Rhinolophus ferrumequinum: one gene and its partners. The protein of the gene in region 1 interacts with the protein of each later gene in a pairwise test. Links are inferred from orthologs where the notes say so. Each region holds a gene or a part of one and is shown in the gene's direction. Other genes may lie near its edges.

Region 1 (8,047 bases):
TGATCCCCGTTACATGCTCTCCTATCACCTCGTACTTCTCTCGCAAGCACATAACCAATTAAAATTAAGCATTTCTTTCTGTAATTATTTCCTGTTGGTCTTCCCCACTAGTGAGCAGGAACTCTGTCAGGTTCTTTTTTCTTTGTCCCTATCGTTGAGGACAATGCCTAGCAGATAGCAGACTCTCAAAGGTGGATTTGATGAACGATACCTTGGAGGATATTTTTGTATTCTTAAAACATTTAATTCCTTTTATAGTTTGTGTCCACGTTTTACTGCCTTCTTTAATCCAAGCATACATTAAATCTCATTCCACAAATATTTATGACTGCTGACTATCCACCAAGCACTGTTTTAGGTGTTAGTGACGGAGGACAAGACAAAACAGACAAAAATCTCTGCCAGTGTGGAATTTCCTTTCCAGCGAGGGAGGCAGATAATAAATGGGTAAAATACATAGTGAGTGAATGCCAAGGAGAAAAAATAAAGCAGAGAAGGAAGATATAAAGTGGTAGGGTGGGGGCGCTTCCATTTTAGAGGGTGGCCCAGGGAAGACCTCACTGAGAAGGTGGTTTTGCAAGAAGCTAGAGGGAGCACCACACGCCTGCTGGCTTTGGAGAACAGCAATGAGAAGAGTAGATGTCACGGGGGTGGCTGGGCCAATTACTGTAGGACCAAGACCATTGTAAGGAATCCATGGTTCATATTCTCATGAGATGAGAACCTATTGGAGAGGTTTAAGCAGAGAAATGACATGATCTAATAGATATTTAAATATATTTAAACAGGATCACACTGGCTGCTGGATTGAGAATAGACTGCATGGGGGAGGGACAAAGAAGGGAAACCAGTTAGGAAGCTACTAAAATAATCCAGCTGAGAGGTGGTTTGGACGAGGGTGGTGGCAGTGGAGGTGATGAAAAGTAGGTGAATACAATATATTTAGAGGGTAAAGCAGGACCTAATAGATAATTTAAGGAACAGTTCATATTCTGAATGAGATGGAACCACCATCTTGACTGGCCAAAACCTTCATTCCTTTCTTTCCAGACCTACTCCCATTTCCCCCACCCCTACCCTTTCCATTGAAATTTATCAACAAGTCCTGGTGATTTTATCTCAGTTCTGCCCTCTTCTTTCCATTGACAACACCATCAGCTTAGTCTAGGAGCCATCATCTCTCTCCTCAACTACAGGCATAGTCTCCCAATTGGTTTCTCCACTTCCACCCTTACTCCCCTCAATCCATTCTCCACATCCAGGCTAAACTAATCTGAAAACAAATCAGATCATCTCACATAGATCTCTGGTTAAACTCTCTTAATGACTCTACCATGCTAAGAGTAAAATGCAACCCCCTTACAATGGCCTACAAGGTCTTGCAGCAATAGTCCCTATTTCCAACTTCACATCACACTACTCTCTCCCTTACCCACTATGCTCCAGCCATGCTGGTCTCAACCATGCTATGTTCTTTCCCATTTTTTGGCCTCAGAATATACCACCCCTCTACCTGGTCATTCTTACCTCACTCTTCATATCACCAGAGTTTTCCCTTCCCGAGAGTCAACTGAATATTATATTTTCAGAAAAGCCTTTCCTGACCTCCCTACTTAAAAGAGGCCCTCTCTGTTATTATGTCAACTCCTTGTCCATTTTCTTGTGTGGTATTTTTATAGCTTGCAATAATATTGCAGGTTTCTTTAAAAAGTCTGTTTCTTCCACTATATGATAAGCTCCATTGCACAGGATCTGGGTCTGTCTGATCCTCAGTTTCTAGAATCCTGCTGGGCAGGAAGGAAACACTGAATAAATATTTGACTGATTTGGGAGTGGTCTCTTCTGTTTTGGGTATCCAAATGACCCATTTTGTCATTGTTTGCTTTTTCTGTGTTAAATTTTTGTCCCAACTCACCTGGATCTGAGGTTCTCAGATGAATATTAGGTTTACGAAGCAACCAGGCTGGGAGACCCCCCTAAGACAAACACAAAGACCACAAAGAAGCATGTAGGTTTTGTTGTCTGGGGGTGGAATGGGGGCAGGAAGAAGGGAGGAAGTTGAGTACAGTGCTGAAAGTGACCCTAGAGTGTGGGCAGAAGGGAGGAGCCTAGGAACTCTGGGTGGCTTTAGGTCTATCCCTTCTCCAACTAACTCACCATATCCCATTCTGCACAGATGTAAGGTCCTGGTCTCAGTATGACCAACAGGTTCGCTATAGTTGCCTCATTCAGAAATGCAATGAGATCCCGGCTGCCATTAAAGTTATAGACCCCAGGCTCTGGCTCATGGTAGTTCCAGGGTACATAACTGAGAAAGGAAAAGGTTAACAGGGCCCAAGGCGGGCATCGGGGGAGATGCCCAGGAGGCTTAAGAGCTCAGGTCTTGCAGGGTTATCTCCAGGAAGGAGGTCCTGGCCCACCTTTTCCCTCCCTGGCCTGGAAGCCCTGGAGCTCTAAGCCCTCATGATACCCCGCCAGTCTTCTTGTCCCAACATCCTTCTTAAGGGGGTGGCAAAAAGAGTAAATCCCGCCCCTCCATGGCTCTCTTGAGCACTTCTTACAGCTGAATGGCGTTGAGGCCACTCATTCGCATCTTGAAAAGCCGGTCTGCCCAAAGCACCCGTGGTACCCGGAAGTAGTGCAGGCTGCCAGATACATAGCGGAACGGAACCCCATCCAGGAGGAATCTGTCATGATCCCGATCCACTACGAACGACCGAGTATCTGCCTGCAAAGGGAGAGACCGTGCTCTACAGAGGTCTGGAGTTGGAGGGCTGCGGTCAGCGGCTGCCAAGAGCAGAGGAGTTGGAACTAGCCCTGCCCACTGTTTTGTTGTTTTCACTTTCTCTCTTACGCCAGATCTAGCCTCGCCGCACCCAGCCGGCTGGTTCAATCCTCTTATCTTACCTGGGGCAGCAGCAGCGTCAGGAGCGGCAGCAGCAGGGAGGGAAGGCAGAGCGGCTTCTTGGGAACCATGGCGCTTACAGGTCTCCTATAGTCAGAGATGGCAGTCCAACTGTCACGTGGCGGATTCCTGGGAGGGAATCTCAGCAAGCAAGGAGGGGCAGAGACCACTCCAAGTTGCCAAGCGATTAGCCTGGACTTTGTCTCCTGCTACTCTACTAATTTGTAAAATCCTCTACATCTTTTTTTTTTTTTTTAATCCCCTACATCTTGAACCAGCTCCATCAGCGTCTCCTGGGAGCTTGTTAGAAATGCTGAATCTCAGGTCCTACCTCAGACCTATAGAATCAGAATTTGTATTTCAACAAGATTCCCAGGTGATCCTGAGCATGTTCAAGATTGAGAAGCAGTGCTCTGCTAGACTGAGCTTCCAAAGGGCTGAGAGTGCCTTGTCTACCAAATCCTCAGCTTCTAGCAGTGGGCGGCACACAGCTGGTTACATCTAGATGAATGTCAGAACCAGGACTCTAAAACAGGTTCAGAACCAAGGGAAACTTCGGAAGATCTTCCCACTGATGTGAAGGGGGTGGGGGCAGGTTATAAAAGGGATCTTTTTCCTGGAGAGCCCTATTTCAACAGAAAAAAGACCGTCAAGGGCATTCCATCTTCTTTGGATGTGCACCCCTTTCCAATTTTTCCCTGCCTCCCTGGGCAATTGAATAAAGAAAAAGGGAACTTCTTGACTGAAGATCAAATCCTTCAGCTGCTGCTGGGCACAGCGGCTTCGTGCCAAGGCTTGGGAATTTGTGAATTTCCATTACTCCTGTCTTCACAGTCCCAAGCCTGGGATGTGAGAACCAGGGTAATAATAATAATTTGTATTAATATAATTAGTATTGTTTATTGACACTTACTAAGGGCTACGCGTCAGATATTGTGCAAGGCACGTTACATATCATTTAATCTTCAAAAAACTCCATTAGGTAGATAATTACAATTTGCATTTTGCAGATGAGGAAATTGAGGGACAGAAATGTTAAGTAGCTTGTCCAAGGTTACACAACTAGTTTAGGGGAGCTGGGATTTGAACTAGTCGGTCTGGCCTCACAGTTCATGTACTTAATCTTAGGTACTAGTATATGTATTTTGCAGTTAGGGAAAGTGAGACTCCGACAGATTAAATAACATGTCCGAGGTCACACAGCTAGTAGGCTATTAAGGCCGGGTTTAGACCCTAGTCTGCATCAAGAACCTGAACTCTTAACCACTGAGACTAGGGATACAGGCCAGAGTCCCCAAGGTTGTACTGATCAGAGCTCCCCGTGTCCAGGCTGCCAGCACCCGCCCCTCCCTGCGTCCTCCCGCCCACCCCGGGCTGGACTGTAATCGGCCACCCAGCGCTCCGGAGGTATGAGGCCTCCTACCTCCGGCATTGGGAAATGGAGGTCCTGGGGGCCTCGGGCCGAGCCCGGCTTTGCTCCCCCTTGGCGTAGGTGCCTGCGTCCTGAAGGCCAGGTATGGAACCTCCACCCGGGTCCTAGGACCGGTCCTCCCGCAGGTCTAGCCCGCCCCACCCCCGTCAGTTCCTCGCCCCCACATCGTCCGGAAGCCAGGCGGTTGCTAAGATACCTCGGGCCGTTAAGACGGCGCGGAATGATGATGAAACCACTGCTTCCGGTCCTTGGCGCTTCTCTCCGCCTGAGCCAGGTCAGTGGGGGAGCCGAGCTGGCCTACTTGCGCTCTACGCGCGGAGGCCCGGGGTGGGCTCTGCAAGGGACGGGCCCGAGCCTCGCACCCCCTCGCAACTGCCCTATGCCCTGCCTTCGCGGCCCCGCGGGCGTGGGCGCCCGAGCCGCGTGAAGGTGGAGCAAGCGGTCTGGTAGTCGCTGCGTGGCCTGAGGCTTTTAAGGCCCCTGATCCCAGCCTTCTTGGAGCTGGTATCGCCAGGGCCCGTTTTCTCTAGGTTCCGAGACCTGGGCCTGAGCTCCCCACATTGGTACTTCCGTGGTCGTCTGGATTGTGCCCGACCCGCGACCCTGCTGTTCTTTTCCTTCCAGTATGATCCGCTGGGCCCCCAGCGCATCGCCTGGAAGAGCCCACTCAACCTGGAGAACCCTTCGGCAGCCTCAGTCGGTCCTTGAGGAGGATGACTGAGACACTATGGGCCACGCGCTGTGTGTCTGCTCTCGGGGAACTGTCATCATTGACAATAAACGCTACCTCTTCATCCAGAAACTGGGGGAGGGGTGAGTGTTTGGCAATAACTAGTCCCCAGGGTTGTGGTGATTGAGGACAGCAGTCTGACTTGATAGGGGCACAAAGATTTTATCCTTAACCTATCTTTTAGCATGCCTAGTGACATGCTAGTCAAGAAAATAGGTTCGGAAGCCAAGCCTCCTAGATCCACCTTGTATGACCTTGATAAGACATGGTTTCTTCGTCTGCTTAATGGAGATAATTACTGTCTTGCCTCACTGATGGAGCTGTGAGGATTAAATGAGAAAATACATATAAAATGTCTCGCCAGTGCCTGGTTCACAGCACTTGATAAATGTTGACTATTATTCATTTAATGTTTGTTAAGCATTTGCCATGTGCAGAGCAGTGGATTATGATCATAGAACCTCAAAGATTATGTCCCACCTCTTGAGCTTAACGTGTAATGATCTTCAGACTTCTCTCAGAGCTACATCTTGGGAGGGTTTCTAGTAAATGGGAAAGACACCCCCGTCTTCTCCCCAGGGAATTCCTCTGGGTCCAAGCAGTGTGGGAGATGACCGTGGTCCTTCACTGACCCCTTTGGCCCACAGTGGGTTCAGCTATGTGGACCTAGTGGAGGGGTTACATGATGGACACTTCTACGCCCTGAAGCGAATCCTGTGTCACGAGCAGCAGGACCGGGAGGAAGCCCAACGTGAAGCAGACAGGCATCGCCTCTTCCATCACCCCAACGTCCTTCGCCTCGTGGCTTACTGTCTGAGGGAGCGGGGCACTAAACATGAGGCCTGGCTGCTGCTACCTTTCTTCAAGGTCAGAAAGTCTCCTGGCTACGGAGGGGTTTGCAACAGAGTCACCTACCAAGAGCTGTGTGAGCAGTCAAGTGTGTTAGGAAGCGGAGGCCATGTCCTGGGTTTGACCACTTCGGATTTGGGCTTTAAAGGAATCCAGGTGGGACTGTGGGGTATGAGCTGTGTGTAGTGGAAATGTTGATAGGCTTTTGGCATGAAGGGATCACACTCAGGGAACAGAGGCTCAGAAAACACCAGCTGTGGGGATACTTGTGTTGCAGAGAGGTACGCTGTGGAATGAGATCGAAAGACTGAAAGACAAAGGCAACTTCTTGACTGAAGATCAAATTCTTCAGCTGCTGCTGGGTATCTGCAGAGGACTTGAAGCCATTCATGCCCAGGGCTATGCCCACAGGTCAGTGGGGGGCAGGGGCCTGTGTACTTTCTGGGGCGGAAAGGAAGAGCCCCACCAAGAAAATGAGGTCTGCTCTCCTCCCAAGGAACAGCCTCCATGATTCTTTCGCCCCCTGGGATTCCAGCCGCCCTGTCTGGGGATGTTCATGGGTCATTCCCACTTGCCACCAGGGACCTGAAGCCCACCAATATCTTGCTTGGAGATGAGGGGCAGCCGGTTTTAATGGACTTGGGTTCCATGAATCAAGCATGCATCCATGTGGAGAGTTCCCGCCAGGCTCTGGCCCTGCAGGTAAGAGAGTCTCTAGGTTCCTTTGCCCACCTGTTCCCCAACCCTGACCCCTCTGGTGCGTGCTCCACTCTGGTCACATGACCACGAGCTATGCCCCACTTTTGAGCTCTGGGGCCACTGTTCCAGGACTGGGCAGCCCAGCGGTGCACCATCTCCTACCGGGCCCCGGAGCTCTTCTCTGTGCAGAGCCACTGTGTCATCGATGAGCGGACTGATGTCTGGGTGAGGAGCATGTGGGTGGGGAGGAATGCTGCTCTGTACCTCCTGTGGAGTAGAGGAGCAGGTCTTTGGTTTCTAGTGCACGGGGCCCCAGGAACCATGTGTGTCCCCATCCCCCTCGACTTCCTTCCTGGGAACTGTCACTGACACTGTACTCAATTGCTCAGGAAGTGGTATAACCCTGCCCTTTGAACAGGGTTGGGACAGCTAAGTCAGGGCTGAAGGCGGTGGCTAAGTAAGCGGTGTAGAGGCCTCCCGCTAACTGGCACTTTCTCTGGGCCCTGCTGGTGTCATGTGGCTGTTGGCATACTCCTTTTAGCTCATGTAGACTCATTTCACTACAGAATTAAGAGAAGAGATATCACCTCCACTGGTCCCCTTCCATGGAATAACTTAAGTTCTGCTCAGTCCCTAGGTTGTGTGCTATATGCCATGATGTTTGGGGAAGGCCCTTATGACATGGTGTTCCAGAAGGGTGACAGTGTAGCCCTTGCTGTACAGAACCAACTCAGCATCCCAGAAAGTCCCAGGTGAGCAATAGAAGGGGCACAAAGCATTTCAGATTCTCCTTGATATTAGCAGGGGTGGCGCCTCGGCATGGGGGGTGGGTGCACCCCCCATCACCCTGCCCTCCTCTCTCCACAGGCATTCTTCAGCATTGCGGCAGCTGCTGGCCTCCATGATGACTGTGGACCCCCACCAGCGCCCTCACATTCCTCTTCTCCTCAGTCAGTTGGAGGCACTGCAAGCCCCAGCTCCAGGCCAGCATACTACCCAAATCTGAACAAGCCAGTAGCCACATTGAGAAGGTGGCCCCTGTGCCTTGGAAAGAGGGCCCCATCCCTCACTGGAATCTGTCTTTTCTATCCAGGCCTGCTCTCTTGCAGTTGGGGGCAGGGGGGCTGGAGAGGGTTAGCTCAGTCTTCTGTCTGATGGGATGGGTGAGGGTGGGGGGATGGGGAAAGGGAAACTGATGGAATCTGGTAAAGGCTCTGAGCAGGACTGCTGAGCTTACATCATGGTCTGCCTCCAAATCTGGGAGCAGGAGAATGTATAAATAGAATAAAGTGAAAACACCTTGGTGTGGATCTTAGTCTCGTTGTTCTTGAAATGAGAGAAAAGGCGCAAGGGGCCCAAAGCCTGGTTGCCTTTTCCAAGGAAACAACCCGGGAAGAAGAGGGACTGGCATCGAGTCAGGAATGGTGTGACT
Region 2 (7,504 bases), on another chromosome or scaffold:
CAGAGGTTCACATTCCACTCAGCTAAGTTTGAGGAGCTGTTTACCTGCATCCTTACCACCCCTAGCATATTGTTATTATTCTCACTATTTGCCAAAATAATGGATGAAAAATAGTGCAATATTTCTCCTTTGATTGCATGTCCTCAACCCTACTAAGTTTAAGTAATTTTTCTTTTCTAGAAGTTCTATTTGGCTTTTTTTCAAATCTGCCTCCTCATTTTTGATCATATCTTCTTCACTCATGTTTTAAATACACCCTTGTATTTAAGCACATTAAACACTTATATACTATTCTATTCTATATCCAGTAATCTCTGAGGTGCTTATAGATCCATTGACTCTTGCTCATGGTACTGTGTTTCTTTTTGTGGTTTGTGACTTTAGACTATGAGCTTGCATTTATTGGACTGTTATCTGTGTGGACTCTTTGAGGCTTGGTTTGATTGTGCACTCCCTCCAGGAAGGGTTTTCATTTTCTTTGTCAGTCATCTGGGGGCACTACCAACTCTGGTCCATTTTAAATTAAATTTCTGATTGTTGTTGCTGTTGTTGATGAAAAAAGTGAATATTTGGCCTCCAGATCTATTTGATTTCTAGTATATAGCCAAACATTTTCAGGGGAGACTTTCCTCCACCCAGAACCAAGGAACGAGACAGGTAAGCTTCCACAGCATTCACCTTTGTTTGATGCATTAAAAAAAAAAAAATTATCCTTTTATAGTCTCTGATCTGACATCCTATCCTGTCCAGAATGGTCCAGACTTTGTCTCCTACTCTCTCCCCTTAAAATAAAAGTTCTAGGACACTCAGCGGTGGAGGTAACCCCAGGGAAGTGGGTAGAGTCAGTGCTCAATAATGCAGAGCACCTCATAGCATTTCCTTGACTTCCCCGTCAGCTCATACATAGAGATACACACATTCAATGTTTTGAGATGTTTCGTAGCAAGAGGATATCTCACCTTCCATATTGTTGGAAACAAAAGCCTAACATATTTTCATACATTCATTTACTTTTCATTAAAGTTAATTGTGCCCATATCTTTAGGACAGAGACGTGTCTCAGGTACCTGTGTCCCCAGCACCCAACCCCTAGCCAAGGGCGATTGTCAGTAACTCTTGATTGAATAAATGAAGTGACAACCCATGTGGGGAGGAGGGGGAAGAAGAGATTGGAAAGGTACCTTTGGCTGAATGGGGTGATTCTGGATGGGTGATGCCATAGAGTCTGAAGGAATGGGCACTGATATTCACGGAGCCCCACTCTAAGAAAGCCTTGTAAATGCATCATTCTAGTGTCTCCCAAATTTCCAAGATGACAAGATACTTGTTAAATATACAGGTTTCCAGGCCCTTCCTTGGTAATTTGGTTTCAGTACTCTGGAGGTGGGGTTCCAGAATGGTGTCTAACAAGCACGTGGAGTCTTAGCATCAGGGAAGTTTGGGAAACGTGATAGATTATTTCACTTAATTTAATTCTCACAACAACCCAGCAAACTCAGTACTCCCATGTATTTTTCAAAAGATGCAACTAGAGCTCAGAGAGGGGAAGTAACGGATGGTCACATAGCTGGTAAATGGCAGGTTCCCAGGTCCCATTCCCAGTTATCTCTCTCCAAAGCTTTATCTTTCTTCACCAGATACTGGTTGGTTATTATTGTTATTATTTTTTCCAAGTTTTTTCACCATTAGTTTATTAGTTTATAACCAAAAGTCATTTTTTCTTTCTTTTTTTGTGGTAAAAAATACATAACATTAAATTTACATCTTAACCATTCTTTTTTTTTATCTTAACCATTCTTAAGTGTACAGTTCAGTAGTGTTAAATGTATTCACATTGCTATGTAACAGATCTCCAGAACTTTTTCATCTTACAAAACTGAAACTCTATACCCATTTAAAAATTTCCCTTTCTTCCCTCCCCCCAGCCCCTGATAACCACCATTCTACCTTCTATTCATTTGATTACTTTAGATATCTCATATAAGTGGAATCATACAGTATGTCTTTTTGTTACTGGCTTATTTTAACATAATGTCTTCAAGGTTCATTCATGCTGTAGCATGGAACAGGATTCCCAACTTTTTAAGGCTGAATAACATTCCATTATACATATACACCACATTTTGTTTATCCATTCATACACTGATGGACATTTGGGTTTCTTCCATCTCTTGGCTATTGTGAATAATGCTGCTATGAAAATGGGTATGCCAATATGTCTTTGAGATCCTGCCTTTCATTCTTTTGGTTATATACCCAGAAGTGGAATTGCTGGATTATATGATAGTTCTATTTTTAATTTTTTGAGGAAACTCCATACTGTTTTCCACAGCAATTGTATTGTTACTGAGTCAAAATTTTTAGGCTTTTCTTAGGAACTGTTTTAGATTACAGAGAAATTGAGAAGATAGTACAGAGAATTCCTGTATATCCTACCCTCAGTTTCCCCTATTAAGCTATCACATTAGTACGGTATATTTGTTACAATTAATGAATCATTATTAACTGAAGTCAACAGCTTATTCACATTTTCTTAGTTTTTATCTAATGTCTATTTTCTTTTCCAGGATACCAACTTACATTATGTTTAGTTGTTAGCATGTCTCCTTAGGCTTCTCTTGGCTATGACAGTTTCTCAGATTTTCCTTGTTGATGATGACCTTCACAGTTTTGAGAATTACTGGTCAGGTATATTGTAGGATGTCCTTCTATTGGAATATGTTTGATGTTTTTCTCGTGATTAGACTGGTGTTACGGGTTTTTAGAAGAAAGATCAAAGAAGTAAAGTGCCAGGCGTCCGGATTGTTCAGTTGGTTGGAGCACGAGCTCTGAACAACAGGGTTGCCGGTTCAATTCCTACGTGGGCTGGTGAGCTGTGCCCCCTGCAACTAAAGATTGAAAGTGGCCACTGGACTTGGAGCTGAGCTGCACCCTCCACAACTAGATTGAAGGAAAACTACTTGGAGCTGATGGGCTCTGGAGAAACACACTGTTTCCCAATATTCCCCAATAAAATTTATTTTTTAAAAAATTAAATACTACCAGTCATGATTTATGACTTGATATTGACTTTGACATCTGGCTGAAGTAGTGTTTGTCAGCTTCCTCCATTGTAAAGTTATTCTTCTTTTGCTGCCTTTTCATACTGTCCTCTTTGGAAGAAAGTCATTATGCACAGCCCATACTTTAAGAGTAGGGAGTTATGCTTCCCCTCTTTTAGGGTTATATGTTGTTGATATAGATTTTTTTTAAAAGTCAGTTATTTTATCAGCAAAAAAAAAAAAAATGGGTTTATTTGGGATCAGCAAAGAACGGCAATGTAGGACAGGCAAGTTATGGCAAAACCATAGGCACGTTGAAAAAACAAAGGAGAAGACCTTTCCCTTGCAGAGCAAAGGGAGAATTGGGAGGGGATGTTCCAAAAAGAGAGTCTATTGGAGGAAACTGGGAGTTGTAAGTATAGTGGCTTTTCACTGGCTGAGGTGTTGCCATGCAAGGAGAAAAATCTTCCTTTCACCCACTATGGTAATAAAGTAGAAAATCTTCCTGTTGGAAATCCAAGGTATCCTTTCTCCCTGTTTGGAGGTAAATGATCATGGGTAGTAAAGCCTGGGCCGGCCTGTGGCTCAGGCGGTTGGAGCTCCATGCTCCTAACTCTGAAGGCTGCCGGTTCGATTCCCACATGGGCCAGTGGGCTCTCAACCACAAGGTTGCTGGTTCAACTCCAGTCCTGCAAGGGATGGTGGGCTCCGCCCCCTGCAATTAGAAAATGGCAACTGGACCTGGAGCTGAGTCTGCGCCCTCCACAACTAAGACTGAAAGGACAACAACTTGACTTGGAAAAAAGTCCTGGAAGTACACTCTATTCCCCAATAAAGTCCTGTTCCCCTTCCCCAATAAAATCTTTAAAAATAATAAATAAATGAGTAGTAAAGCCTGAGAACTCCCAGTACAGGCCCTTCCGACTTCAATTTTAGTTGAGGTTTCCTTTAGTAATTTTCACAGTTTTAACAAGCAAAATAACCACACAAGAGATATCTTAGTTCTTTTCATCAAGGGTCACACTGCACGTTTAGCAGCTGATCTGAGGTGGGTAAATAGCCCACACTGGCCACCCCAACTTCTGGAGCCCCACTTTTCTCATCTGTAAAACAGATGTTGGTGATCTTCACTCCCTAGGACTGTGGTGAATAGAGTCTCCTGCTTTCAATGTCAGTTCCTTCTGCCTCCCCCATCTGGCTGTCGGGGTCACCCGGGTGAGAATGAGGAAGAGGCTAGACTAGGGTCTCCCCCGAAGCCAGGCGCCAGGCGCAGCCCACGCCACTCCTAGGTTCTACCCACACCCTGAGACCAGCTTCCCCCACCCCAGGGCGGGGAGCAGGTGTACTTCCGCCACCCGCAAGTATCCCGCGGGCCGGGCGGGGTGCAGAAGGCGGGGTGCGGAGCGGCGGCTGGGCTGCGCAGTGCCAGCTGCCTGCAAGGCCAGGATGATGAACCTGCCCTCGAGGCCTGTCCCTCTGCAGCAGGCGGCCCCCGCGGGCCCGCCGACGGTGAGTGCACAGCCCGGATCCGGCGGGAGCCTGTCCTGCCGCCTCTCCCTTCTTTCACTCTGTCCGTCCCTCCCTTCGGGTCTGAATCCCCGTCAGTCGCCCCCGTCCCCGCTCCCGCTTCTGGTGCGCCTTCTCCCTCCCGCCTTCTTTTTTCCCTCCCGGCTGTTCCTTCCGCGCCACGGTCTCAGTTCCCATTCAGGCTCTGTCCAGCCTCTCGTCTTTGCCCTCTTTCTTGGTCGGCTGCCTTAGTTTCTCTCCTTCTTTTCTTGGTCTTTGTTTTAGCTGCTCTGTGTGTGTCTTCTCTGTTCCCTGGTTTGTCCTAGGTGACCTCTCTTCCGCTGTCTCTCTCCCTTCCCTGCTCCCATCCCTCCTGCCCGGGGTAGACGCAGACCCAACCAAAGGCTGCCAGTGTATCCTTCCCTCACCCCTCAAACCCCCACCCTCTCCAGCCTGCCCAGCCCTCTGGCTGGGTCCTGAGTCAGCCTGCTGGCTTGCCCCCTCCCAGGGCTTGGGTGAGGGAAGTTTGGGGGAGGATCAGGAAAAGGCCCAGTGTGCTCTAGGAGTACAGCATTCTGATCTGTCTTGGGCTAGGTGCCATCGGGAAGACTTGTAGAAAGGGAAAGCAGATCCAGCAGTGGGGAGACCGTGGTTCTTTCCCATAGGGCGATGATAACGTCATTGTTTTGACTATTGTCAAAGTCACCTGTTCAGTGGCAGGGCTGCCTAGGTGCTCAATAAATGTCCGAATGAATTACCCAGCAAGAGAGGGAACCAGCAGGGTGCATGACGCCAGGTAGGGCAAGATTGACCTTTGTCAGAATACCAGGTGCTTCTGTAAATCGGTGCTGCCAAGTAAGCTCCATTCAATTCAATAGACATTTACTGAGCATCACCAGTACCTACTGCTGGGCCCTGCAGTAGGTACTGGTGACATAAAGATGAATCAGGGATAGTCCTTCCTTAGGCACCGCACAGCCTAAAGGGGGATCCAGATGTAAAGGGAATTACAAGATAGGTAACTACCGTGACAGTGGAAGTACAAGGCCCTCTGGGATCACAAAGAGACAACCCATCTAGAAAGATTCCTGGAGGAATTAGGTAGAAGGATGAGTGGGCTAAGTGAAGCAAGCCTGGGCTGCAAGTGGCCCCAGCCTGCTGTGGATGGGTGGGGGTGGGGGAGCAGCAACCTATTCCGGTAGTTGATTGCCAGGGTTGCAAAGGGCCTGTAAATCTTGTTAAGGAGTCTAGAGTTTATCTGGAAGGGAATACAGGGTCATTGAAGTGTTTAATGCAGGGGGTGACAGATCATCAGATTTGCACTTCAGAAAAACTACTCTGGTTTCAGAGTATAGATTGGATTGGAGGAGGGTACTTGGGGGGAGCAAGGTGTCATGGAACTACAGGAATCAGGCATTTAGGACTTGGTGACTGATTTTGTGTGTGTGTCTGGGGGGTGTTCAGCATGGAAGCAGAATGTAAGATCATAGCCCAGCCTGGGATTCTGGCTCAGAAAACTGAGATAGGAAACAATGGAAAAGGTCAGGGTTGTGGGGTAGGAGGAGATCTTGAGGGACATAGGAATGGAGATGTCCCTCCGTTGACTTCACTAAGGGTGACCTAAGGAAATGTATGAATGTTTGGCAGGGGGTTTGCAGATGTATAGGGATCCTTTAGACTAGAACTGGGTGAGAGCTGAGCATGTCTGATTCATCCCTGTGTCCTCATGGCCAGCACTGGCCTGGCACCCAGCAGGGGCTCCTAAAGACCATGTGTCCCCAGCCCATGTATACAGGGCCTGAGACGGGCTTTCCCACCAAGGAATGCTTCAGCAGCGTGACTGGTAGAAAAGGTGAGGAAGAGATGCCACAAGGAAGAAAGAGCAGGTGATCTGGACGAGGGGTGGAAAAGAACTCTTTATTTGCTAGAAACACATGCTGTAGTACTTATGGATGAGGTAGGAAATCTGGGATTTCCAAAGAGATTGGGAGTTTTGGGGAAAAAGGATGGAAAGAGAGACAGAATGAAGAAGCTTGGAAACAGAACAGAGGTCTTATTTGATAAACAAGGAAATGGGGCTGAGAATGTTAGGGCAGGAAGCTATTTTGTGAAGCATCTGGCAACGAGCTTCAGAAACAGCATTGAAGTGACTGGATTCGTTAGACTTTCAGAGCTGGAGGGACTTAGAGTTCTCTTCATCTATTTTGCCTCCCTATTTTATAGATGACTAAGCTTAGGCCCAGAGAAGGAAGTGAGCTGTCCTAGGCACATAGCTAATTATTGGCAACAGTGGGACTGGATGCCGGAGTGGTGGGGATAGGGCACTCATGCTGTACTGGAGTCAGACCGACATGGGTTTGGTCCCAGCTCAGACTTCAGCACTTACTAGCTGTGTGTGACCCTTTTTCCTGACCTTCCCTCGCTTGTAATGTGGGGGCATTGAGAGCACCTCTGAGCTTACAGCAGTACATGAGTGATGAGAGCACATGGATTCATTCAAGGGTCAACATCTGCAAATTTGCATTTAACTCTCAGCTGTACAGAGGGACCTTAGTGTTACCCGAAGCGCCTTCCCAAGGGCACTTGAGGTTTATGGGAGAAAGAGGGAGTCACAGATTCTGGGCTTATTTTTCTCGTGGTGTATTGTATGGCTGCTGTCAGAGAGCATCCTCTCCTTTCCCTTCTCCCCTCCAGCCTGCAGAACTGTCCCCTGGTAGGAGCTGTTGCCATGGCAACTCAGTTCTCCCCAGGAGTTTGGCTGTCTTTGGTTCTCTTAATCCCAGTACTTTAATCTTAGAGGTAGAGATCACAGACAAGTTGAAAATGAGGTCACCCCTAAATGAGATGGAAGGACATTTTGGAGCCCTGGCCCTGGCCCTGCAGTGCCTTGTGGTAGAGTTCTCAGGTCACTGATTTCTTACAAATCCAGCCTTCCCTCTCACACTACACAGATCTTT
Region 3 (7,438 bases), on another chromosome or scaffold:
CAGTCTTCTCAACAGTCCTGCAAGTTAGTGGAACGTGAAGCAAAGAGAGGTGCAGTAACTTGTTCTATATCATACAGCGAGGACCTGAATAAGCTGTGATTCAAACTCTCTTCTGTCCAATTCCCAGAGCTAAGTTCTTTCCTACTTGTACATACCAAGAAACTCAGATTTCATCAGGGAACATACGAGGTCAGACAATTAAGTTCACGAACTCATCCTAGAAAAAGTGCTACATACCTCACTGCTGAATATCACTAGGACACCTTCGAAGTACTGCCCTTGGGAAGCTATGCACTGACACCAGCGCCTACTCCACCCTTCAAAGCAATTTTGGAACTCTTTTTCTGGAATGGCCATCAGAGCTATCGCCGTATTACCCTTGATGTACTAAATGTCATCAAAATGTCTTCCTTTCAATATTTCCTTTATCTTCAGGTAAAGAAAGAAGTCATTGAGGGCCAGAATAGAAGAGTAGGGAGGGTGTTCCAATATAGTTATTGGTTTACTGGCTAAAAACTCCCTCACAGACATGCCATGTGAACTGGCGCATTGTCGTGATGCGAGAGCCATGAATTGTTGGCGAAAAGTTCAGCTCGTCTGTTTCATGCAGACTTTTCAGCACCTCCAAATAGTAAACTTGGTTAACTGTCCAGCTGGTACAAATTCATAAGGAATAATCCCTCTGATATCAAAAAAGGTTAGCAACATCATTGTAACAAATTCTCAAACTTCATTATCATACCACTTAGACCCTTTAAAACAATTTGATACAATGTGTTCAGTGTTACAAGTAGATACTAAGGTAGGCTTGTTTTGCCATTGGGGACTGGTAAAACTTCTATCCACCTGCTGGGTTTTCAGCATACATAGTTCACCAAGAAAAAAGGGAAAAGATCATACTAGTAACAAATCAAGAGGGAGGACAGGAGTGTCCGGAGCTCAGAATGGAGTGGGCAGCAGGAAAAGACCAAATAGAGTCAGGTTGGAGCCTGTACTGTGAAGAGTCTCCTGGGCCAAGCCTGAGTCAACTTTAACTTCTCTTTTCCTCACATCCTATACCGAAGCCATCATCAAGTCCTGTTGGCTCAAATACATAACTGGAATCTGACCATTTCTCACCACCTCTGTTCCTACCATTCTGGCTCTTGGTCCAAGCCACCATCAAATCTTACCTAGCTTTTAGCAAGAACTTCCTTCTGCCTTTGCCTTAGTCTACTCTGGGTAAGGCAGAGAGAGAGACAGAGAGCCTTCTAACACAGTAGTCCTAGGCCTTAGCTGCACGTTACAATTGGCTGGGGAATTCTCAAGAAGTTCTTATGTCTGCACGTATTCTAAATTAGTTGCTATGAAGTGGGGCCCAGGCAGAGGTATTTTTTAAAGCACCCCAGCTGATTCTAACTTGTGGCAAAAGTTCAGGACCACTCTTTCAGTATGTAATTCTCGTGTCTCTTCTCTGTCCAAACCCTTCAACACTTCCCATATCACTCAGTATAATCCAATGGTCTACAAGGCCATATGTGATCTGGCCTGTGACATCTCTTACCTCCCCCTTGTTCATTCTATTCCAGCCACACTGGCCTCCTTTTTGTTCATTGAACAAGTAAGGCACACTTCTGCCTCAAGACCCTTGCCCTTGTTCCCTCTGCTTGAGACACTCTTCAGTTAGAAGTCTGCATGGCTCAATCCTTGACCTCCTTTAGGGCTTTGCTTAACTATCACCTTCTTAGTGATGTCTTCCTAGTCCACCCTCTTTAAAATTGCAACTCCTGCCCACCACTGTCTGTCCTTTTTATTCTTCATAGCACTTGACACCATCTAACTTCTGGTGTATTTTATTTGCATTATCTATCTCTTCTCCACTAGAATATAAACTCCAGGAGATCAGGAATTTTATTTAACTGGTATATATTCCTATCACCTTAAATACTGACATACAGTAGTGCTCACTAAATCTTTGTTGAATAACTGAATTTCTGTATATGTGTTTTGGTGGAGGCTGGTCCATGGTGCAGGCCATGTAGAATCTGAGGCACTTAGGGATACCAGGAGAGAGGTCAGGCACTTGGTCTGAGGCAGATGATGACTGAAGCTGTGGGAGCAGCTGACCAGCCCAGAGGAACATGGACATGGGGTAAAGGAGCCCCCCAAATTAGCTTCTACCCATGTTCATCTTGATGGGTTTCACCTCCATCTGCCTGGTCACCAAAGAGGCACCTGGGGTCATCCCAGACTCCTCACTGCCATGTAATTCCCCTGAAAACATTCTGTATTGTCTAAGTACCTCCAAAATATGCCACTTCTGTCTCTCTGCACTACCACAGCCATCCTCTCCCCCAGCCCACTGCCAACAACCCAGCCTGGGTGCCTCCACCATTGTTTTCCACATTGCAGTTTTAATTGTTTTTCTTTCTTTCTTTCTTTCTTTCTTTCTTTCTTTCTTTCTTTCTTTTTTTATTAGTTTCAGGTGTACAAAACAATGTAATAGAGACATTTTTTAAAAAACTTTTATTTACTTTAAGTGTGTTTTTCTAGGACCCACCAGCTCCAAGTCAAGTAGTTGTTTCAATCTAGTTGTGGAGGGTGCAGCTTATAGTGGTCCATGTGGGGATCAAACAGGCAACCTTGTTAAGAGCACCAACTGAGCTAACCGGCCGCCCTGTACTAGACATTTATACCCCTTATAAAGTGATAACCCCCTCCCCCAATCTACTTCCCTTCTGACATTGTATATAGCTTTACAGTTCCACTGAGTCTATTCCTTATGCTGTACTCCACATCCTGTGACTATATACATATATACATATATATTAAATTATAGTTGACATTCATTATTATTCAGCTTCAGCTTCAGGTGTACACTGCAGTGGTCAGGCACCTACACTGTCCATGAAGTGGTCTCCCTAAAAAGACAAGTGTCCATCGGATACCCTACAAAGTCTTTGCAACATTATTGATTATATTCCCCAAACTGTCTTTCGTGTCCCCAGGGCAATCTTGTGGTAACCAATTTGTGCTTTCTAATCCCCTCACCTTCTCCCTCATCCCCACCCCCCTCCCATCTAGCAACCCTGTTTTTTCTCTGTATCTCTGAGACTGTTTCTGATTAATGTGTACATTTATTCTGTTCTTTAGATTCCACATTTAAGTGAGATTATACGGTATTTGTCTTTCTCCGTCTGACTTATTTCACTTTACATAATGTTCTCTAGGTCCATCCATATCGTTGCACATAGTAAGATTTCATTCTTCTTTATGGCCGAGTAATACCCCATTGTGTAAATGTACCACAGTGTCTTAATCCAGTCATGTACCAATTGGCATTTCGGTTGTTTCCATGTCTTGGCTATTGTGAATAGCGCTGCAATAAACATAGGGGTGCATAAATTTTTTCGAATTAGAGTTTTGGATTTCTCTGGATAGATACCTAAGAGTGGAATTGCTGGGTCATAAGGTATTAATGGTTTTTCTAAAACACAAGTTTGACCTTCTCCCTTCCTCTTAAAATCTTTCAATGGGCTCCATGCTGCCCTTGGGGCCAAGTCCTAGCTCCTGTAGGCCTTCTGGGACCGTGAACTGGCCTCCCTTTCTAAAGTCGTTTCTTGCCACTCAGCTTATAGGCCGCCAAAGCACAGGAGGACTTCCTCACACCTGGGGCCTCTGCTCAGGACTCAGAAGAGAGTCCTTTTGGGGGAACGCTTTCCTGCTGACTGGGCTGCCTCCTCTGGTCCCCCTGTACCTAACCTCACGCACACTCACTAACGTCACTATTTGGCAGCCTGTCCAGGCTGGGCGCGCCTGAAGGAAGTACTACCTGTATGGGTCATTGTTGCGTCAAGAAGAGAGAGCGTCAAGAAGAGAGAGCGAGATAACCCAAGGGAGGTAGAGAGGGAGCCAGGCGCCTGTCCTACAAGCCCATGAGCGCGTGTGAAGGGTGTTCCGCCCTTGGGAGGAGGAGCCTGGGGTCCTGCGCCGCACTAGCTACCCTCGCTACCCACCAAGCGGCACTGAGTACCCTTCGCCTGCAGATCTGGGGGGTCGCAGAGCTAGATCTCAGCCAGCTGCCCTCCCGGGGCGAACTTCCTCTCAAGCTTTCTGCAGCCGAACGGAAGAGGCGGGGACGTCGACCACGCTAAGGAGCCGGCAGTGCAAGGTCTGTAGCCAAGCGGGAGAGCCAGCATCCTTTCTGCGCAGGCGCGCTGCCCAGGCCAGGAGGGGCGGGGCCTGGGCGGTAGAGGGGCGGGGCCGGATCCTGGGCCCGCCTCCACTAGCTCTTGTGAGCCTTCGAGAGTGCTGGGCACCCCAACTATTCTAAGGGCCTCAGGTGAGCGGGGGTCGCAGAGGGGTCAGGAGACCTCCGTCGAGGTCGGGCCGTCGGTCTGACCGCGGGCCCATCTGTCCTGCCGTCTGCCAACAGCCGCTTACGCGGAAAATGGGAGAACAAAGGGAGGGGGCGGTTCTGGGGCCCCTGAGGGAATCCAGGGTCCCAGGTACTTCGCCCCGCCCGCTGACACTTTCGGTTTCTCCCCGAGTCAGAGGCGCCGCCCAAGAGACCCTGGGCCGGCGCCGGGCGCAGCTGCCTCTCCGCGTTTGCCTGTCCGTCTTTGTGTCTGTCTCTGTGTCTGTCTGGCTGTCTCCGAGCTTGCCTCCACTTTTAGAACTAAGCTTCCCGGACACCGACATCCCGCGGACTCGCGCCCCTTTCCCATGGCAGGTAAGTGGGAGCAAGGCCGAGGGTCTCCGTTATCCCCCCCACGGACTTGGGAGCTGGGTGTCGAATGCATCCTCCGGGAATGTGCTCGGACTGGCTGGGTGGGGCCCCTCCCTTCCTCCCAGGCAGCCACCGCCCTGCTCCCCCGCCCCATCTTTCTCAATCTCTTCCCATCACATTTTCCCCGCAGCCTCGCGGTTGCCTGTGGGCTAAGAGGTAAAGGGATGAGGCCGTGAAACCCTTTCTAATCTACGTCCCTGTCCCTCCACAGGTTACTTGCCCCCCAAAGGCTACGCCCCTTCTCCCCCACCTCCCTACCCTGTGACCGCTGGGTACCCGGACCCTGCGCAGCATCCTGGGCCCGGGCAGGCGCCAGTGCCTGCCCACGTGCCTGCCCCTGCGCCCGGCTTCACTCTCTTCCCTTCACCCGGCCCCGCTGCCCCGGGCCCTGCTGCCCCTTTTTTGCCATTGCCTGGGGTGCCTTCTGGCCTGGAATTCCTGGTGCAGGTGAATGGGAAGGGGGAGGGAGGAGTGACGGGAAGGGGACAAGGGCTTGCAAGCCGGCCAGCTGAGGTGGGCGTGGCTCCTACTCTCTTTCCAGATTGATCAGATCTTGATTCACCAGAAGGCTGAGCGAGTGGAAAGTGAGTGGAAGGACCAATAGGTTGGGGCTCGTGAGGGGGGCAGATATAGTGGTCTCTTGGGCAGGTACTGGTACCTGAGCCTCAGCGTGTCACCCCTCGGCAGTGCTCCTAGGCTGGGAGACAAGTAACCGGTATGAACTGCGCTCTGGGGCTGGACAGCCCTTGGGTCAGGCAGCTGAGGAGAGCAACTGCTGTGCCCGTCTGTGCTGTGGCGCCCGCCGGCCACTGCGTGTCCGCCTGGTGGACCCCGGGGATCGAGAGGTGCTGCGCCTGCTCCGTCCCCTCCACTGTGGCTGCAGCTGCTGCCCCTGTGGCCTCCAGGAGGTGGGCGGGGAGGGATGGGTCAAAGTTCGGGTAAGGGGCAGGCTATAATGGGGAGGACCAATGATGGAGCAGAGCAGTCCCCGCATGAAGCGTGGGAGTGAACAGGTGGCACTGGAGGTCTAATGAGGGGGATGACGGGGGTCTAGTGAAAGGGATGGGAGGTCTTGTGAGGGGGGACAGATGATAGAACTGTAGCGGTGAGAGCTTGGGTCAGGGTGCCTTGGCTCAGCAGTGACCCTATCTGCTTCCCACTCCAGATGGAAGTACAAGCTCCACCCGGCACCACCATTGGCCATGTGCTACAGACCTGGCATCCTTTCCTCCCTAAGTTCTCCATCCAGGACGCTGATCGCCATACGGTCCTGCGAGTGGTGGGGCCCTGCTGGACCTGTGGCTGTGGCACAGACACCAACTTCGAGGTATCAGGAATAAGGAGCGATTCCTGGGACCTTTATAAACCAAAATGGCAGTTTCCATGAGGCAGGACGGCTAATACTAAGGTCAAAACCCAGAACTCATCAATCCAAATCCACTGTGACCCCTACCACATTTCCAGTGTTCGGGTCCTCCATTCAGAAATAGAATGGCTCCGTGGCCTTATAAAAGCATGACAAAGAGGGTTTCATTTTGAGGACCAATGCTAATTTTTACCTGCAAACTATGTTGAGGAGGTAAAAATCTAAGGCCAGGCTGGATTTAGGGTGAAGGATTATTTCATCTGCCATGGGCTGGATCTATGGCTGCTGTGCATGAGTTTGTGAGTTTAGGACTTGGAGCAAGCACGAATTTGACTTGTTAATATCCTGTGGCTTGCCCTGCCAACCTAGAAGTCCAAATGGCCCCTCCAACCTGGAATCCAGGTGATATCTTTTTCACCATGCATTCCTGTCACCAAACTGGAGCCTGGAGAACCCAAGTGGTGACAATTTCAAGGTGAGGCCTGGGAAACACCTTTGTTTCTAGAAGACAGTCACTTTGAATTCTTTTAAGGGATAATTACCAGTGCAGATAAGGGAGAAATAATGGGTATAATCCAGACTTGCCAAGATATCTGATGAGGTCTCCTACCTAAGGTTACTTTTAAAAATTGAGCCACCTTAGTAGCTGGGGGGAGGTTCTGTGATGGGAACTGGTTGAGAGAGATAACTTGGTGACTTCTGGATGGGAAGGTGTAGACTTTGGGGTTTTCATGGGGCTAGTCTCCCTTTTACATAATTATGAATTGTCCATATTTGGGGCTGTACTTTTGGGACTGGGAGAGCTGACTGGGAGAGGCCCTGCCCAACTTCAGACTGGTTTTTAGGAAATGCCCCAGAACTGTAGGACAGTGGGGGAAGGGGATGGGAAGGGCAGAGAAGGAAATCATGTTAGTTTAGCCACTAGAGAATTAGCATAGAAAAAGAACCAGGGAATCACTGTGAATTACCACCTAGATTGGCAGGGCCTGTTGCTGCTGGGCCCAGAGACGCCAGTGGAAATCGTGGTCCTCAGAGGCTACTTACTGCTGCCCTCTCCCCCCAGTAAAGGCTCCCCTCTAGCTGAGGCTTCCATGCAGTGCTAGACAGGGCCCTCCCTACTTTGCAGAGGAGGGGTACCCCTTTGGGCAATCTTCTAGGAGCCTGGTTGGCTGGTGGAGTACAGCCAGGATTTTAGCAGCCTCCTTTGCCCTCTTGGCCAAGCTACTTTGTGCAGGGCACAAGCTACACCAAATGTGGGTGACAAGGACTTTGGTAACCAAAACAAACCTAGCAACCAGCCATAC
Region 4 (6,253 bases), on another chromosome or scaffold:
TAGAAAACGGCAACTGGACCTGGAGCTGAGCTGCGCCCTCCACAACTAAGACTGAAAAGGACAACAACTTGAAGCTGATCGGCACCCTCTACAACTAAGATTGAAAGGACAACAACTTGACTTGGAAAAAAAGGCCTGGAAGTACACACTGTTCCCCAATAAAGTCCTGTTCCCCTTCCCCAATTAAAAAAAAAACAAAACACATTAAGGTTTCTAAATCAGTTATTATATTGTAAATTTCTAAAATTTCAGTTCATTTCTCTTCTATGGTTTTTGGTTTTCTGCAAAAATTCTCAATCTTGCCCTTAATTCTTTAAACATTACTATTTCTTGATATTTCTTCCTATTTCCTATCGTTAAATTCTTAACATAAGTATTTTAATGTGTGATTTTGACATGTCCGTTGCATGGATTGTGTATTTCAGATTCTATTTTCTGGTGTTCTCTTGTGTTTGTCTTATTTTCTTGTATTCCTACTATATTTTGAGAGAGTAATAAATATTTGAGTAATAAATATTGATTGATTGATTAATATGTATGTATCTGGATGATTTCACCTTCATCTAGAGAGGGTTTACTTAAGATTCTGGCAGGCTGCTAGAATAAGGACACCAGCAGCCTTGGTCATTTTAACTCAATCAAAAACTGAGATAATTCATAAAGAATAGAGACAGTGGAAATGTAAGGGCTGTGTGTGATGTCAGAGGGGCAGTAGACTGGAGGAGGGGGATTAACACTTTGTGAGGGGTATAAATGTCTAACTATTACATTGTTTTATACACCTGAAACTAATAATAATAATAATAAAATTAAGATAATTCAAACCGAAGCATCAGCCCTTATAAGAGGTTGTCTATTAATAATTCAAGTTTACATCTAGAAATTGGCTCTCCAATGTCTGGGTTATTTTCCACCGTCCCAACTCTTTGGTGGGCCCCAAATTCTAACTTTGTTTCTCTAGCTCTGTGAGTTTATAAAAATTCCCTCAGCCTCTTAGTCTCTACTTTCAAAATCAACATAACTTGAAGAGACCAGCAAGTCCAGATCTAGGCTCATTTCTTTTGACTTCAGTTCTGGCCCCTATAGGGCCAGACTCCCTATAGGGCATAGACTCTCTATGACTCTAGAATGCTTGCGTATTTCTTTGAAGTTTTCAAAGAGAGATTCTTATTTTTTTAATTTTCTCTAGCTTTTCTAGTCTCCTTGAGAGGACTGGTGTAACATTTTAAGCAATGTTAACTTGCTAAATTTCTGTAACTTTGAGAGATTTATTTATTTTTATAATACATAGGAGTGATTCAAATAAGTGAGTGGCTGCAGCGAAGATGATCATTTGACCGTTTACAAGTCTGCTCCTGTTGTTTCAATGGTGGTAGATGACACCACAATTCAGAAAACTCCAAAGCTGCCATCGTGGGTGTCCAGGTTTTCTAATTCTGTCTCCCATTTCCATACCACATGTACTGGTGTTATACTGTGTTTCAGTATGGCCTGAAATCACCAGGAGCTTTCGTACCTTTCTGCTTTTCTCAGTTTATTTTATCTTTCTAGATCTCATGGTATTCCTTTCCATATTTATGGTATCTTTGCTTTTCTAAGTGACACCCATCCCCAGTAGAAGCTGTCAACACCCTGCCTATGTCCCTTGGGTATTCGTCTGTACACTTCTGGGACATCTGTAAAACTCTGCCAAAGGACCTTTCACTTCACAAGAGCTCCTGTGCAGGGAATTCTCTGTGAGAACTGAGCTCCAGTTTCTACATGGTACCTAGCTTAGTGATGTACCCTGTGTTGCCAACCTTTCATTCCGTCACATTGTCCCACTTCCCAACAGAGATTTATTAGGCTCACCGGTCAAGTAAACAACTTGCATTTGAATTCGTGTTCTCAGCCATTGTTTCTGGACATTTTATAGAAAAATACATATCAGGTGCCTCATTAATATGTTCATTGAGAAATCTTCAGTGTTTCTCCACCTTATACAATTTTAATTAAAAGATCCCTAGGGAAAAATACCAAGACCATATTACAGAGAGAAATGTGCCTTAGGATTGCGTGCAGCACATTTAGGAAAAGCAGCCATGATAACTTTGTCCAGCAAATGTATTTTTAAGAATACAGAATTCAAAGCCTTCTAATCTATATCGTATAGTAATAAAAAATGTGTTTTGGCTAATAATACTATATAGTGATTGAAAAAAATTTTATATAAGAAATACTGGCTTTTGTTTATTAAGCTGCACCCTAGATGACTAGTAAAAGCAAGATGCCCAACATGTGAGTGACAAATTGATTGGTAATTGGTAATTAGTAGGTAGGTGCCAAAAGTTGTAACTTGCAACTATAGATGAGTTTCTGTTGGAAACACACCTCAAATATCAAAACTATTTTGTTTATAGTCTGGTGATGGCACTCTGCACTCTAAAAATCAGAAGCCACTGGATGTACAAACCAGAGTGATAAGTTTTAAGTCAAATATCTCAATTTTTAATTGTTGGTAAGTAACTCAGTCAAAAAAGAAGAAGAAGAAGAAGAAGAAGAAGGAGGAGGAGGAGGAAGAGGAGGAGGAGGAGGAGGAGGAGGAGGAGGAGGAGAAGAGGAAGAGGAAGAGGAAGAGGAAGAAGAAGAAGGAGAAGACCCAATGGTGGAGGTCTATGTTATATACAACAAAAAAAATATAATCTTTGAGTTTAATTCAGTCCCAGGTTGGGGAGTACAAATTCTTCTTAAATTCATACTAACTTAGTGTAGACAAAGTTTTTAGATTTAGAGGCAAAGGGAAGAGAAGATTGGATCTTACAGAAAAGGATCCTTAAACAAGGAGACAAGTAATTGAAGACAAATTCACTACATTCCCCAGTTTTGTCTAATAAATCTGTGTCCCCTGTTTAAGTCTTAAGGTTTATCATCAATATTATTTCATTTTTTTCCAGTGTTATTGAAGGATAAATGACAAATAAAAGTTGTAGATATTTAAGCTATACAATGTTATGTTTTGATATAGGTATACATTGTGAAAAGATTACCAAAATGAGACTAAACAGCATATCAATCATTTCCCATGATTACATTTGTGTGTGTGTGTGTGTGTGTGTGTGTGTGTGTGTGTGTGGTAAAAACATTTAAGATAGTCTCTTTTAGCAAATTTCAAGGATACAAAATAGTATTAATAGTATTTTTGACTGTAGTTACCATCCTGTACATTAGATCTCTAGAATTTATTTATTCTGAAATCTTGTACCCTTTGACCAATATCAAGATAATCTTAAAGAGTTGTGTTTTAAAACAGAAAAAAACAATGGGGAAGGAATAGCATCTACAGTGTTATATTAATAGGACAGTTTATCTACTTGCTGAGGCACAAAGCAAGGAGAAATGAATTCTGGTCTTGAAGAATAGAAAATAAAGGACTCATCACTACCTATTTGAATTGGGTGCATTTACTTCTTTCCTCTGTTCCTTCTAGAAGGTCTACATTAAGTGACTTTTAAAATTGCTATAGATTTTATTGAGAAAATTTTATACATTTAACATCATTTTTGTAAGTTTGTTACAGCTTTGTAAGAAACTCTTTCCATCAGCCATGAGAGTACGTTTCATTCAGTCCAGAATATAATTTAACTGGTTGCATAAACATTGAATATTTTGTGAATGAACTTAGAAAGCATTTGGTTGTGCTCTAAGAATATGGTAAATCTAACAAACGTTTTTAAAACTGAAACTATAGTTAAGCAGAAGCAAAAAATAAATAGCAATGCAAACAAGAAAAACAAAACAAAATAAACTTAAACCCAGAAAAAACAGAAAAGAAAATTGGTGGGTAAGGAGAGAGAGAGGTGGAGAGGAGAGAGGGAGAGAGGGAAAGAGGGAGAGAAAGATATGTCTGTATACAGCAGAAGAAAAGAGAACTAGAAAAGGAACTTCAGATTTAGGCAAGAAAATGCAGAGCGGTACCTGGCTCTCTGCAGGAGCCAGAAAGTCACTCAAAGCCTGTGCAGTGGAAAGCTAGATACATTATAAGGTGATAGAAGCCTTGGATAGTTATATATGTAGATGATGAAAAGGAAAACATATCAAAATGCATAAAATATACTAATTTTGTAAAGTTTTAGTTATAAAAGTATTGGGATAAAATGGACCACAATTTAGGAGTGCAGTAAAAAAATCTGCAATTGCTGAGCCTTCTCGGTGTTCCCCTTTCAGTTGTTTCCTCCCCTCATCAAGCTAGTGTGTCCCTCTTGGCTGTCTGGGAAGAGGCCCAGACTGATCTTCCCTGGGGCTGTTGCAGTGGAGCTCTTTTTTGTCACCTCATCTTTAAATACATGACAAAGTGTCTTTCAGTTTCTCGCCATCTGTCTGTTTTATCTAGTTTTGGTCTCTTTTCATTGGGTGAGGGGCACACTGTGTAGCTGCAGTACTTGGTGTATTAGTTTTCTATTGCTGCCATGACAAATTACACCAAGTCATTTAGGAGAATGGGAATCAATGGTGACAAGATGGATCATTTTCAGGAAGACTCCCATTCTGATGGAAATGGATTCATTGCACCAGAACATAATTGATGTTACCTCATTCCCCACTCTTAGGAGGAAAGCATCCTCCAGCAAAACTAGATGTGGCTACATAGGAAGCACATGGAGGTAGCATAAGCCAGAGGAAAAGCTTTCTTGGCCCTGATGCTTTCCTGGTCGTGATGGGATATGCATTAGTATAAAACAGTCATAGCATTTTTGACAGAGGAGCAGTTCATTGGCTTTGGCTGTAAAAACAAAATTATAGCACCCATAAATACAATATGTGGAAAACTATTCAAATGTAACCGCAATTACAGAGACAATTACTGAGTTAGTCTTATGCAAAAGAGCAAATCCAATATAGAAACCGTGATCTCATAGTGGACCACACCCATTGTTGAGGGTATATAAATGCCATAGCCCAGAAGTGACATTCAAACTCAGAATCGTCTCCTGTAACTCAGCTGAATTCACATCTCCATCAACATGTCCTACAACTGCTGCTCTGGGAACTTCTCCTCCCGCTCCCTTGGAGGCTACCTGCGTTACCCAGGCTCCTCCTGTGGCTCTTCCTACCCCAGCAACCTAGTCTACAGCACTGACCGCTGCTCCCCCAGCACATGCCAGCTGGGCTCTTCTCTCTACAGTGGCTGTCAGGAGACATACTGTGGGCCCAGCAGCTGCCAGACGTCCTGTGCGGTGTCCAGACCCTGCCAGACGTCCTGCTACCGCCCAAGGACCTCCACGCTCTGCATTCCCTGCCCACCAACTTACACAGGGTCTCTGGGCTGTGGGTCCAGCAGCAGCTGCTCCCTGGGCTATGGATCCAGGAGCCGCTACTCCCTGAGCTGTGGTTCCAGTGGCTTCAGACCCCTGGGTTATGGAGTCTGTGGCTTCCCTTCCCCGAGCTATGGGTCTGGATTCTACCGCCCAACCTACTTTGCCTCCAGGAGCTGCCAGTCATCGTGTTATAGACCAACCTGTGGATCCAGTTTCTACTGATCAAGTTGTAAAGGGCCCAGATTCTATTGGTTTTGAGGTCAAAGTCTCTACTCAGTACAGCGATCATTTTCATTGTCACCAGTTACCACTATTCTTTTATTCTTAAATCATCAGTATCTTGCATCACCAACTTTTGACAGACTCTGAAATTGATTGGTAACTCAAAGTTAAGCCCTACTACCTGTACTATTGATAAAATATATGTTATTGGATTTCCACTGAAGAGCAATTGAAAATGAAAATTGTCATCAAATAAATTTATGTAATCTGGCACCCAAAATATTGTTCATTCTTCTTATTATTACCGTTTTCTCTCTTTTTTGCCTGTAACTTTTGTATTCAAGGATTTGGAAGATTTAAGTAAAGATTGATATGACTTCGAAACTGGATTTGGGCACAATGCAATTTGATAGATTTGAGCAAATTTCTGTCAACATTGTATATGTTCCCCATTAGAAGTAGTCATTTCTAGGAGGTCCATATTTCACACCTCTCACTGTCAGTGACATTTGCCTGAAAATGAGAGATGCATTTCTGCTGATAAAGGAAATCAAAGAAATTGGTACGTCAACTAGAAATGCAGACAACAAGAATATGATGTAACACCTAACGTGAGGTTTTACATAGACAGAAAACTTACCTAAAAGTCTAGTATCTGAGTAAAGATCTTGCAGTTAAGAGACAAGATGAGGCTTATGCAACTTCAAGGACAGATGCTTTGCTCTGGGATGGTTGAC

Evidence for each region.
Region 2: the proteins of STK16 (region 1) and KCTD14 interact in binary tests that used the Homo sapiens proteins (3 or more experiments, as listed by UniProt). The link is inferred for Rhinolophus ferrumequinum from reciprocal best matches to the Homo sapiens genes STK16 and KCTD14.
Region 3: the proteins of STK16 (region 1) and PLSCR3 interact in binary tests that used the Homo sapiens proteins (3 or more experiments, as listed by UniProt). The two-hybrid records come from large-scale screens. The link is inferred for Rhinolophus ferrumequinum from reciprocal best matches to the Homo sapiens genes STK16 and PLSCR3.
Region 4: the proteins of STK16 (region 1) and keratin-associated protein 13-1-like interact in a two-hybrid assay, tested with the Homo sapiens proteins (2 studies listed by BioGRID). The two-hybrid records come from large-scale screens. The link is inferred for Rhinolophus ferrumequinum from reciprocal best matches to the Homo sapiens genes STK16 and KRTAP13-1.

Annotation. Positions count from the first base shown.
Region 1 is NC_046291.1:16,219,369-16,227,415, reverse strand, and holds STK16 (serine/threonine-protein kinase 16), read left to right. Parts: upstream 1-5,011; 5' UTR 5,012-5,064; coding exon 5,065-5,150; intron 5,151-5,714; coding exon 5,715-5,934; intron 5,935-6,193; coding exon 6,194-6,327; intron 6,328-6,497; coding exon 6,498-6,618; intron 6,619-6,744; coding exon 6,745-6,840; intron 6,841-7,245; coding exon 7,246-7,367; intron 7,368-7,482; coding exon 7,483-7,621; 3' UTR 7,622-7,925; downstream 7,926-8,047. Other genes in the region: GLB1L (beta-galactosidase-1-like protein), read right to left, coding at 1,916-1,976, 2,158-2,308, 2,562-2,728, 2,908-2,976. UniProt on the Homo sapiens protein: Membrane-associated protein kinase that phosphorylates on serine and threonine residues. In vitro substrates include DRG1, ENO1 and EIF4EBP1. Also autophosphorylates. May be involved in secretory vesicle trafficking or intracellular signaling.
Region 2 is NC_046294.1:52,179,603-52,187,106, reverse strand, and holds the start of KCTD14 (BTB/POZ domain-containing protein KCTD14), read left to right. Parts: upstream 1-4,294; 5' UTR 4,295-4,487; coding exon 4,488-4,550; intron 4,551-7,504.
Region 3 is NC_046304.1:11,473,060-11,480,497, forward strand, and holds the start of PLSCR3 (phospholipid scramblase 3), read left to right. Parts: upstream 1-4,327; 5' UTR 4,328-4,429; coding exon 4,430-4,711; intron 4,712-4,979; coding exon of another isoform or gene 4,980-5,215; intron 5,216-5,309; coding exon 5,310-5,352; intron 5,353-5,455; coding exon 5,456-5,676; intron 5,677-5,933; coding exon 5,934-6,095; intron 6,096-7,438. UniProt on the Homo sapiens protein: Catalyzes calcium-induced ATP-independent rapid bidirectional and non-specific movement of the phospholipids (lipid scrambling or lipid flip-flop) between the inner and outer membrane of the mitochondria.
Region 4 is NC_046285.1:96,956,945-96,963,197, forward strand, and holds keratin-associated protein 13-1-like, read left to right. Parts: upstream 1-4,905; 5' UTR 4,906-5,000; coding exon 5,001-5,516; downstream 5,517-6,253. UniProt on the Homo sapiens protein: In the hair cortex, hair keratin intermediate filaments are embedded in an interfilamentous matrix, consisting of hair keratin-associated proteins (KRTAP), which are essential for the formation of a rigid and resistant hair shaft through their extensive disulfide bond cross-linking with abundant cysteine residues of hair keratins.